Oryctolagus cuniculus: one gene and its partners. The protein of the gene in region 2 purifies or fractionates together with the protein of the main gene of each other region. This does not show direct contact. Links are inferred from orthologs where the notes say so. Each region holds a gene or a part of one and is shown on either strand. Other genes may lie near its edges.

The links. Proteins that work in one complex are often made in the same cells at the same time.
Region 1: the proteins of SLC6A15 (region 2) and GPAT3 purify together in Homo sapiens (co-immunoprecipitation; 3 studies listed by BioGRID and IntAct, counting the BioPlex papers as one, with this or other methods). This does not show direct contact. The link is inferred for Oryctolagus cuniculus from reciprocal best matches to the Homo sapiens genes SLC6A15 and GPAT3.
Region 3: the proteins of SLC6A15 (region 2) and GOLGA5 purify together in Homo sapiens (co-immunoprecipitation; 3 studies listed by BioGRID and IntAct, counting the BioPlex papers as one, with this or other methods). This does not show direct contact. The link is inferred for Oryctolagus cuniculus from reciprocal best matches to the Homo sapiens genes SLC6A15 and GOLGA5.

What each region holds. Positions count from the first base shown.
Region 1 is NC_091439.1:78,655,804-78,659,449, reverse strand, and holds part of GPAT3 (glycerol-3-phosphate acyltransferase 3), read right to left. Parts: intron 3,398-3,646; coding exon 3,269-3,397; intron 2,208-3,268; coding exon 2,128-2,207; intron 1-2,127. UniProt on the Homo sapiens protein: Converts glycerol-3-phosphate to 1-acyl-sn-glycerol-3-phosphate (lysophosphatidic acid or LPA) by incorporating an acyl moiety at the sn-1 position of the glycerol backbone.
Region 2 is NC_091442.1:87,730,367-87,734,602, reverse strand, and holds the start of SLC6A15 (sodium-dependent neutral amino acid transporter B(0)AT2), read left to right. Parts: upstream 1-1,422; 5' UTR 1,423-1,849; intron 1,850-4,236.
Region 3 is NC_091451.1:37,907,861-37,911,506, forward strand, and holds part of GOLGA5 (golgin subfamily A member 5), read left to right. Parts: intron 1-384; coding exon 385-610; intron 611-1,420; coding exon 1,421-1,526; intron 1,527-2,783; coding exon 2,784-2,847; intron 2,848-3,646. UniProt on the Homo sapiens protein: Involved in maintaining Golgi structure. Stimulates the formation of Golgi stacks and ribbons. Involved in intra-Golgi retrograde transport.

The DNA.
Region 1 (3,646 bases), on a different chromosome or scaffold from region 2:
CAGGGGCCACTATCTCCCTCCTTAGATTGTAACTCCTAGGAGAACGCTTACCTTATACTGTGACTGTTTAATTTTAACCCAGTTCAGCGTGAATTTTTACCAAGTCCTTTCTGATGATGATGAATGATCACAGTGAACTCAGTGCCCTAAGGACAGAACCTGACCTCAATACAGATGCCTGCCTGAGATCAACACAATGTTCTGTCTTCTACAGTCAGACCCAGCACAACCCTCAGTAGAAGAAATAAAAAGAAAAGGAAAAAAAAAAAAGACTGAGGCTAAAACTGTGGCATAGTGGGTAAAGCAGCGTTGGCATCCCATATGGACACCATTCAAGTCCTGGCTGCTCTACTTCCAATCCAGTTCCCTGCTAATGCACCTGGGAAAGCAGTAAAAGATGGCCCAAGTGCTTGGTCCCCTGCACCCACGTGGGAGGCCCCCAGAAGAAGAAGATCCTGGCTCCTGACTTCATATTGGCATAGCTCTGGCCACTGTGGTCATTTGGAGAGTGAACCAGTGGAGGATGGGAGATTTTCTCTCTCTCTCTCTCGCTCTCTCTCTCTCTCTCTCTCTCTCACACACACACACACACACTGCCTTTCAAATAAATAAATACATAAATCTTTAAAAAAAAAAAAAAAGACTGTAGATACAAATTATCCAGGGACTCAGCTGTGGGAAGAGTTCATGAAACAAGATCACAAATTGTCATCAGGTCCCAGGAATTACCCACGCCAGCCTCTTTTATCCAAATGAGATACTTCAAGCTATGGATTGCGCAGACATGAATCCTGAACACTGAGAACTAAGGAAGGAAGGGAGGGCGAGACAAGAAAGGCCTTTCTCATTTCCTGAGTCCAGGTCAAGAGCAGGCGAACACCGTAAGCTAGAAGCTTTCGTTTTGCTTTTGTCTTTGAGCATCTTGACACCAGTTGTGTACAGTTCTTCCCAAGGACTCAGCAAACCTCTTGCTGGTCTAAACACCCCAACTGTGCCTTGCCACCCCCACAGATGTCAACATTTTACCCAACACCCCTTTGCACTGGCAGCAGATCTTAAGGAACTTAGATATAAGAGCCACTTTACGATCAAACAATTAATTCATCATTTTTTTAAAAAAATCTTTCTAGCCATGCTAATTCATGTCCAACAGGTAGATGACACATACATCTAGAAAAGCAGTGGGATGATTTTCCTTTTTTTTTTTTTTAAAAAAAAAGGGAAACTAAGGAGCTAGGGCTGTGGTATAGCAGGTTAAGCTGCTGCCTGTGACACTGACACTCCATATGAGTAAGGGTTTGAGTCTCAGCTGCTCCACTTCCATTCCAGCTCCCTGATAACGCACCTGCAAAAGCAGCAGCAGATGTTCCAAGTGCTTGAGCCACTGTTACCCATCTGGGAGGCCCAGATGGAGTTCCAGGTTCCTGCCTTCAACCTGACCTAGCTCTGGCCATTGTGGCCATTTGGGGATGAACCAGTGAATAGAAGACTTTTCTTTCTGTCTCTCTCTCTCTCTATCTGCAACTGTCTCTCTCAAATAAATAAATAAAATCTTTAAAAAAAATTAACCAGGTAGAAGAAACCAGTTACATGTAGGAAAATGAATCAATAGGACATTTGCAGGCTAAGGGAAGCTTGTAATTTTAGGATGTTATGTGGCTTGTCATTTGATTTAATGTATCCCAGCTTACCAATGTTAGTCTTATTGTATACATTAGGGCTAGACAGATGTCCTAAGTCAAGAACTCACACAGTACCCCCGACCTCCCACACAGTCAGCCAGCACCCAATCAGAAGGCCACCCTCCAGGGGGTGCCACTACAAGGCTTTAGAAGCCTTTCGGGGGGGCCCCCTCAACTTCCCAGGCTTTGTTAGTTAGCATAATGAATTTCAGAAACAGTTTTCACTGTAGAAATTAATGGCACAGCAAAACAGCACCTATACCAGCCTGAACTGTCAATGCTTGGGTGAGACAGAATTTCTTTCTTATTTAAGCCACTGTTGTTTCCTATAAAACATTGTCACATTCAGCTAAATTCATAGCAAAACAGATGACATTGTTAATGGTGGGAAATTTTTCATTAAAAAAACAACAACAAGTGATAGTACTTCTGAAAAATCTCTTACCAGGGTAGTTCAGTCAGCCCTCCTTGTACAGCAATAGCAGACTTCACCCTATTCGCAAACTGAACTGCATCTTCTCCTTCCTAATCAAAAACAACAAGAATTACAAGTTCATCCTGGGTGTACAGTGTATAAATAATAACTTAAGATTCACTTGTCATCATTCATGTTTGTCTGAAGATATAAATTCACATTTAGCTCAATCATAGCAAATATCTGTTCTATCAGGCAAACTCACTGTTGTATTTATCATGTGCACATATTCATTATGTATTAGTTTTTTTTAAGATTAATTTATTTATTTGAAAGTCAGAATTACAGAGAGAAAGAGAGAAAGAGAGAGAGAGATTCCATCTGTTGATTTATTCCCCAGTTGACTGGGCCAGAAGCTTCTTCTGGGTCTCCTACATGTGTGCATTGCTTTCCCAGGCCATTAACAGAGAGCTGGATCAGGAGCGGAGTAGCTGGGACTCAAACTGGTGCCCATACAGGACACCAGCATCACAGGCGAGGTCTTTATCTGCTACACCACCGTGCTGGCCCCAACTCTTTATCAGTTTTATTCAATGATTCTACACTGTCTGCAGGTTCTATAAGCCTACAGCAATTATGAAGCTATTATGGAAAAGAATCTGAACACAAAATGGCCTGATTTGAAGACTGCTTAGTTACGTTCTTAAAAAGTGACTTACCTGCTGAAAAAGCAGAAAGGCATGATGTGCTAAAGGAGCCACCTAGTTTTCAGATAAACGTTTTCTAGCCAGGGCTGGAGCTGGGACATAGCAGGCAAAGCCGTCACCTGCAATAGTGGCATCCCATACGGGTCTCTGCTGCTCCACTTCTGATCCAGCTCCTTGCTAATGGCCTGGGAAAAGCAGAAGATAGCTCAAGTGTTTGGGCCTGCCACCCACGTGGGAGACCCGGATGAAACTCCCGGCTCCTGGATTCAGCTTGGCCCAATGCTGGCAGGTGTTGCCATCTAGGGAATGAACCAGTAGATGGAAGATTTCTGTCTCTCCCTCTCGCTCTGTAACTCTTTCAAAATAAATAAATTTTTCTTTTCTTTTTTCTTTTTCACAAAAAAGGGTTTTCTAGCCGTTATTTGACTAGATAAAGCAGAGAGCAGCTTTTATCTAAGGAATACCTCTCTGGTCATGGGAGGCATGTACCACACGTCGCAGACGATGGCCCAGCTGGTCATCATTCGAAGCAGGTAGCTCACCATATTGTATTTACTGCTATTCCAAAATGCATCTCCAAACTGAGGGTTATACTGAGAACAAAGAAAAGAAAATACAATCCAGTTAGAAACTAAGTCATTGCTTCTCTTACCCATGTCAGTGCTGCTATGGTGGTTGGACACAAATACTTCCATCAGACCTCAAAAAAAGTTACTGGGACCAGCATTGTGGCACAGCAGGTTGGGCTACCACCGGCAATGCCAGCATCCCACATGGGCACAAGTTCAAGTCCCAGCTGCTCCACTTTAGATCCAGCTCCCTGATAATGTACCTGAGAAAGT
Region 2 (4,236 bases):
ACATGTAGTTTTCCTTGTGCACTTGGTCAAACCTCAGTGAAAAACTTAAGAGGGGAATACTTTTTGCATAGTTCTTCCTGGGATTGTGTGGAATCATTCCAGCAAGTGTGTGGATAACTTGGTTTCTTGAAGACAAATCTAACCCTGATGATGGAGGTCAAGGCTTTACCTATTTTCTTAAATCCCTCTCAGTTTATATAGGTGATAATTGTACTGCATTTTGATTTCAATATAAATTAAATGGTGTGAATCTACATAAGTATTTGCCTTCCACCAACAGGTGAAGTAAGAAGCAAATTATGTAAGATGTTCTCTAAGAGGTTTATTGTGACTTTTTACTTTTTGCTGTGGTTCATCTGTCAAAAAAGCATTCATTTCCCTTGGTAGGCGATGGCCAACCATGGAAGGAATACACTCTTATTTTTAATTCTTAATTTTTAAAAGGTAGAAATGGAAAAGAGGCTGAGTCAAAGCTCTCTTGGCTGCTTTAAAAACTAAGGATTAGCACCAATGTTCTGACCTGAAATTTAGGTCTTGTGATTTCTTTCCAGGAGATTTTTTTTTTTTTACTGCATGAAAAACCTGTCCGCTAAAGCCTTATTATTTAATTCAATCTTAATTGGATACAGACTCAAAATCTAAGAGATTGTTGGAAGGCCGCAAAGTGCACTGAGGTATTTTTTAATGGGATGACCAATCATCTGGAAGAAAAAGTCACTGAAATTTTCTTCTATATGCTGTAGGGCCATTGTATTTCTCCCAAATTTTTAAACTCTCAAAGAGAGAGACCTTCATCCCCACAGCACACGCTCAGGTTAGGAGCAGTTCAGCCATTTGCAGATAGAGGCTAGGCTTTGTGTTCCTGAGAGGTGTATTTGAGTTCTCCAGGTGGCTTAATTGTGAGCATGCCTCCACTGTCAGCAGAGGTGAGTCAGGCTTCATCTTACAAAGGGAGCCCTTGGGGAAGAGTGGGCGCTCAGAGAACAACCCAGGGTGGACGGCAGCTCCCTAAGCACACTTTCCTGGGCTAGGCAGAATCGCTGAGCACCATCGGGCCACCTCTTGATCAAGACGCAAATGTCCAAGATGCTTTTCTTTGGCAAGATATGTAAACGGCCAGCCTAGGGAATAAGCCAGGGAGACGAGTTCTTGGGTCACCCACTCTCTGAGAATACCCAGAGTCTTTGAGGTAGGACCACTCCTATTGTTACGCTGGTTCAGACAAAAGCAGGGAGGGGACCGGCAACTGGTGCCCATCCTTCGAGTGGTGTGGGCTGGAGGAAGGCAGGCTGGCAGGGAGACTTTGTTTTGTTCTGCTCTGCAGCGGGCTTCCTGGGTCCCACCCCGCACCCCGCGGGCCCAGCCCCAGGCGCAGGGAGGACGCGGAGGGCAGCCGCAGTGGCTTCTGCGTCAAGTGGCAGCAGGGCGGGGATGGGCGGCGCGCAGCCGGCGGACCCGCTCCCTGCCCTGCTGTGCGCCCCGCCGCCGCCGCCCGCAGCCTCCCCCTCCGCCCGCAGCGTGTCGGGCGGGCCGGGCACGTGGGTGCCTCCGTCACACCCTCACTCACACACACTGGCGCGCGCACGGCTCCGCGCCTGCCTCCCGCGCTGGTTCCCTAGCAGACGCACCGCGGCTCACGAGTCTCTCCCCAGCAAGCCCGCAGGGCAGCCACCCTCCCGAAACCCCGCTTCTCCGTTCCGCCCTGGGCCAGCGGCCGCTCCTCTCCACACAACTGCTTTGCGGCCTCCTTCAGATACCTGGACCCGACCCTTTGGCGGCGGCTGCTGCTGCTGTCGCTGCTGCCGGGACGTGGGAGCAGCGAGAGGCACTGGGTCACGGCACACTCACGGTAAGGACACTCTCCTTTGCTAGGGGGCTCGGTGAGGCTTGGGGTGCGGCTCGCTGTTAGCCGCCCCGGAGCCAGAGGGCTGGGGACCAGGAGCAGCATTGATGGATGGCTCCAGGGAAGGACTCAGCCTGGGTCCTCCCTGGGCTGGGAGGGGGGAGGCGGCTCCGAGGCCACGGGAGGGAGAGGCTGGGCTCTGTGGGCGACCCTCTGGGCTATGCGTCCTGCACCTGTGCACGATGGGGAGTGGGGAGGGTGCATAAGCACATGGGTCGAAACGTGCCGCCATCCTTCCTTCGTTCCCGCGGTGGAAAAGACCCACGGCGTCCCCGGAGACCTCCAGGTTTCCGAGTGAAAGAGGACGTGGAAGGGTGGGGTCTGAACTCCAGGAAGTCCAGGAGAAAAGTTGGGAGGGTCGGGGCGGAGAGAGGCGCTCCCGAGGTGCATCGGAAGGCGATGCACAAGCGGGTGGGCGGTGGGGCGGGGAGAGAAAGCCAGCCTCATCTCTCCATTCGCTTCTGCTAGCCTTGGCGACTGCGGAAGGCGAGGGTTTTCACGTGACCCCGGCTCCCTTTCGCTGGAGGCTCCCCGGGATGCGAGGAATGAACACCGGCCCTTCGCTGCGCGCAAGGCACGTGGCTGCCGGGGAACGCGCAGCTTGGGAGTTTCTGCGCATCCTGGAATTGGAGAACGGGGCGGTGAGGGCGGCGCTACTGGGATTTTTAAGGAGAGCATGGGGAAGGAATGGGAAACCCAGATCGTGTCTAGCTTCCATTCCCTTGTCTGGTCCGTGCGAATACAGGAAAGACGGGGGAAAATCCTTTCTCAGCCTGAACTTGCGCACTGGCTTTGGAAAGGTAAATGCATCACAACGCCTAGGCATCCCGGAGGCAGACGTGACCCACCGAGGGGCACCGGCCGAGGGGCGGGCAAGCCATCCCGTGGAGTAGAGCAGCGGCGTGTGCCGTGCGCTGCAGGGTCGCGGAGCTCCAGGCTCGCGCTCCCTAGCGTCTCCCTTTCCCTTTGCAGCCTCCTGCCTCGCAGGGAGCGGCTGGAGTAGAACGGGGCGGGGTCCCGACTCGGCGCGGTGACGTCAGCAGTGTTTGGGTGCTTATGCAAATGAGGCTGCGACTGTAGCCTCGGGTCCTGCGGTTTTCTCCCCGCGGCTCTTAAAGGTAGAGCCGGTGTTAGTCGCCGCGCACTACCCAAGCAGTGTGGGATGGATGGCAGGTTTGCTTCGTGGGCTGTGCGTGGCGCCTCCTCGTCCGTTTTCTACCTGTCAGTGCCCGTTGGCTCTTCTGGGATGCTGGAGGCCGAGTGTTTGCTCGGGAGGAATTGTTCTGTGCTCACCGCACCCAGTTTCATTGCTGAAGAACGCGGCTGAGATACAGACTTTGTCAGGGCTTGGTTTGCTGTAGGCACTTAATAAATACTTAGTGCTGGACTGAGTTTTCCTTAGAGACTATGTTTCTGTCATATTAAATTCGATGGATTTGAGCATCAGACGATTGTGTTGTTGTGTCGCTGCTCTCCTGTCCGCATGATAAGTGATCCATGCATATTTGTTGGAATAAAATATATTATTCCACCGAACTTGAAGTTGAAATTTACTATTTCTCTCCACGTGAAACCGTCAATGCGCTCTTCATTAGGCAAAACAGAAGTTAGCATACTTTTAAAGGGAGATTATCTCCTAAACGTTTGTTGACAGCTTTTCTTTTTCTAATTGTACATTGCAACTCGATTCAAGAATTACTAATATAGTTAACTCAAGATGTATTTTAATGAAATTAAGAAAGATATTTACACACGTTCTAGGGGATTAATACTTTGTCACCTAATACATAAGAAATACTAGAGAATTTCAGAATTGAATACCTTAGGTATTTGAGATCCCAAAAATCACATGAGATGCCTTGCTTGTCAGTTATTGAAAATTTAAAATGTCTAAAAATAGTTACTGAAACCTAAAATCCATGTTTATGATCGTTAACTTACTCAATGACCACAGTTCAAATTTTACTGAATGCACATTAGAAAACATACTTCTTCTATCAAAAAAAATGAAAATTGTGTATGAATACATAAATTTACATTCCTTTAAACCTTTAAACTCTTTGATTAGATCCAGACAATCAAAAAAGCATGACTTAGAGTGAGGGACCTGAAAGACTTGGGTGATTACCAAAACTCAAAAAACTTTTACTTCTCAATCTCTTTTGGACAGTATGTTAATTCTTTACTACTACATGTATGCATGGAAATATTGATACATTCCTATGCAGAGCAGGTTTGAAGTCCTTTCTGAGCAGATGACATTAGTAAAAATCTACAGCATTGTCTGATGCATGAAAAACACTCAAGGTTCCATGGCAGGGATTTTTAGATTT
Region 3 (3,646 bases), on a different chromosome or scaffold from region 2:
GAGACCAGGAGAAGCACCTGGCTCTTGGCTTCGGATCAGCGTGGTACGCCGACCTCAGTGGCCATTGGAGGGTGAACCAACCGAAAAAAGGAAGACCATTCTTTCTGTCTCTCTCTCACTGTCCACTCTGCCTGTCCAAAAAAAAAAAAAAAAAAAAAAAAAATCCCGTTCTGTTCTGGTTTTAAAGCTGACTTCTGGCCCAGCAAATTGGTTTTGTGACTCACGGGTTCAGTCTGAACTCACTTCTGTGGACAGTGGACGAACCGTTACCGAGTTAGAGAAATCAGTGAATGCCACAGTGACCTGTGAGAGTGCAGTGATGTGATTTCCGTGTAGCACGGCTTCTCTCCTCTACAATAATCGGACGGACACTTGGCCTTGCAGCTCACCAATAAAGCCCTGAGCCACAGCAGCCAGTCCGAGTTGGAGAACCGCCTCCGCCAGCTCACGGAGACCCTGATCCAGAAGCAGACCATGCTGGAGAGCCTGAGCACCGAGAAGAACGCGCTGGTCTTCCAGCTGGAGCGCCTGGAGCAGCAGATGAGCGTGGCCCCGGGCAGCTCCAGCGGCGGCTCCTCCATCCACATGCCTGGCGTGGACAGCGGCGAAGGTAACGGACAGCACAGGGAACCTCAGCTGAGTGTCATCTGAACGGGACTGGGACAAACTACAGACAGAGGGTTTGTGCTTGAAAAGAAGATAAGTCTGGGCCGGCGCTGCGGCTCACTAGGCTAATCCTCCGCCTTGCAGCACCAGCACACCAGGTTCTAGTCTCGGTCGGGGCGCCGGATTCTGTCCCAGTTGCCCCTCTTCCAGGCCAGCTCTCTGCTGTGGCCCGGGAGTGCAGTGGAGGATGGCTCAAGTGCTTGGGCCCTGCACCCCATGGGAGACCAGGAGAAGCACCTGGCTCCTGCCTTCGGATCAGCGCGGTGCGCCGGCCACGGCGGCCATTGGAGGGTGAACCAACAGCAAAGGAAGACCTTTCTCTTTGTCTCTCTCTCTCACTGTCCACTCTGCCTGTCAAAAAAAAAAAAAAAAAAAAAAGATGAGTCTGGAACGTGCAGGGAGTCAGGGTGGGAGGCGCGCTTTGGGGGTCCCCACCTCGTGGAGGGCTCCGCTGCTGTCCAGTTAGGGCAATGGAAGGGCCGTTGACACTGACTCTTGACCAACACCTGGCATTTGTTCTCTCTTTCATTTTTGCTAAAATTGTTTTCTTAATTTTTAAGGTTTTATTTTTGTAGAAATAGAAGTTCAAACATTTTGTCTAACCAGAGTTACCTGGCTTCATCTTTGGGGCCAGTGCTTAGAAAGTCGGCCGTGAGAATTTCTTCCACTTGTGGCCGAGTGTATTTCCAGCCGTCACTTTTGTAGAAAGTTGACTTTGGTGTCAGTACATTCATTTATTTTCTTACTTAAACAGGCACACGTCTGCGAAATGTTCCTGTTCTTTTTAATGACACAGAGACTAACCTGGCAGGAATGTATGGAAAAGTTCGCAAAGCCGCCAGCTCCATCGACCAGTTTAGGTAAGCAGTGCCTGCCGGAGGAGTGGTGGTGGCTGCTGTTCTTACAGGTTTTCCCGTGGTTGCAGTGGTGTGAGCCCTGCAGCAGGTGTTGGTGTGTGGGGTGACATTCATCTTGCTCTGTGTATGATATGTCAGTGTCACGCGGTGGCTTCAGGAGCTCCGCGAGTGCCTGCGTTTGACTGAAGATGATTAACCGCGGCCATTTCTGTTCTTTCTGCAACAAACTCAGTAAATTTCATCGGGACAGCCTCCGCCTCCTGTGAGAGCGCTCCTGTGGGTGTTTTAGCCTAGCACTCTGCCACAGGGTTGGAATAACAGAGCCTCCGTGCTCATGCGTCACTGGACTCTTCTCCTTTTACTGTATCTTTTATAGATGCTACAGAAATAAACAGCTTACACGTTATCTACCTTTATATATACGTTTTTAAACTAGCAAAAATTTGCCTTATCAAGGTTATGTTCTAACAGTTTACCCATAGCCTTGATGAAGTTCGTGTTTTAAATAACCTACTCTACTAGTTGTTCTTTCTAGTGTTTAATTAAACACAGTTTGAATGAACTACCACATAATGGTGATCTTTTTTACTGGTGATCAGCACCTAGACTCGTACAGTCAGACCCCTGAGGCCTCGAGCCTGGGTTCCCAGAGCCACTGTCTCCGTGTTACTCACCTCTTAATGGATCATTTAGTTCAGCGTATGGCACGATTGTTGGAGAGCCTGTGTGTAGGACGTCGTGTCCGTGGCAGGGAAAGCAGCAGTAGAAAGGTGCATTTTCTTGTACAGTTATCCACCTCGGAAGGGCGTGGTCGGGGTCTGCCCGAGCTGCTGTTCCTCCAGGTGCTCACTCGAGCCTCCCCAAGTTTCTGCAGCTTCATAGCCACGTGGAAGCTTGCAGGTCAGCTGTCCGCACGTCAGCGCCGGCCAGGACTGTCCCTCCCGTTCACGTGTTTAACATCCACCCTATCCCTCACAACTTCTTCAGTTCCTGAAAGAAAAATGATTGAGAGAGGTGCCTTGTGGTTGTGGCCCGAGCATGAAGGGAAACACCTCGTGCTCAAGTTCTGAGCTCCACGGTGCCTCAGTCACGAGCCAAGGATTTGCCTACCACTCCGGCATTTCTACGCGGTTATTTGAAGTCACCATTTAACAGTATTCTAGAAAAATCGTTCTGGGGAGGCCACACAGATAGTGGGAGTGGGTGAACTTCCCGCAGTTGGAGGCTTCGTGTGGAGTGTAACCCTCCCTTCTCCCACAGCATCCGCCTGGGAATCTTCCTGCGGAGGTACCCCGTGGCCCGGGTGTTTGTCATCATCTACATGGTGAGTAAGCCTGTCGCGGAGGGCAGTGCTCGCTTGCTCGCTCGCTCGCTCCCGTGGCTGCCCTCGCCGCTATCTGGGCGACCCATTTTGAAAGATTAGAAGAACTCATGCTTTATCTTGAAGATGTTTTGTTCTTAAAGTAGGTAAATGAATAATTCGTGTGTCTAAATAGAAACAGAATAGGAACTTGTAGTCCTTTCCTACAAGTAAATCTAACTTCAGCGCAGTTCATTGTTCCCTCCGTTGCTAAGTCCTGCCCGTGATAAGCATACAGTACAGAACTGCTGGTTTCATTTTATCTTGATGTTGTCAAGTTGCTTTAAGTACTTCTAAAAGAATCTCAAAATTAGTTTATTTTTTGCTGATTCCTTCACTTATTAAGTAGTGTTGGTAGCTGGGGGTGCCAAGGAGAAGGGGTCCCCAGGAGCCCCCTCTCGTCCTGATTGGGTCTATCCAGAAAAGGTTGCGTTGACCTGAGATGGGCTGTTTTCTTAAAAAGAAAGAAAAACCTACTGAAAAGGAAATTTCTCGGTCATCCACTAGAGGGAAGAGTAGGCCTTTAAATAAGAAATTTTAAAGAAGGGAAGGATGGGAAGAATCAAACAAAAGGAATGGTGTCAGACAGGATTCAGAGATTCAGAATAGCGCCCCCTAGAGGCCGACAGCCCAGGTGTTGGAGATGCCGAGTGACACCAGAATGTGGTTGGCATGAACCATTTAGTGCTGCCCTGAGGGCGTTAGTGGAAATTCGGCATCCAGGGTCACAGACGGTGTGTGTGTGTGTGTGTGTGTGTGTGTG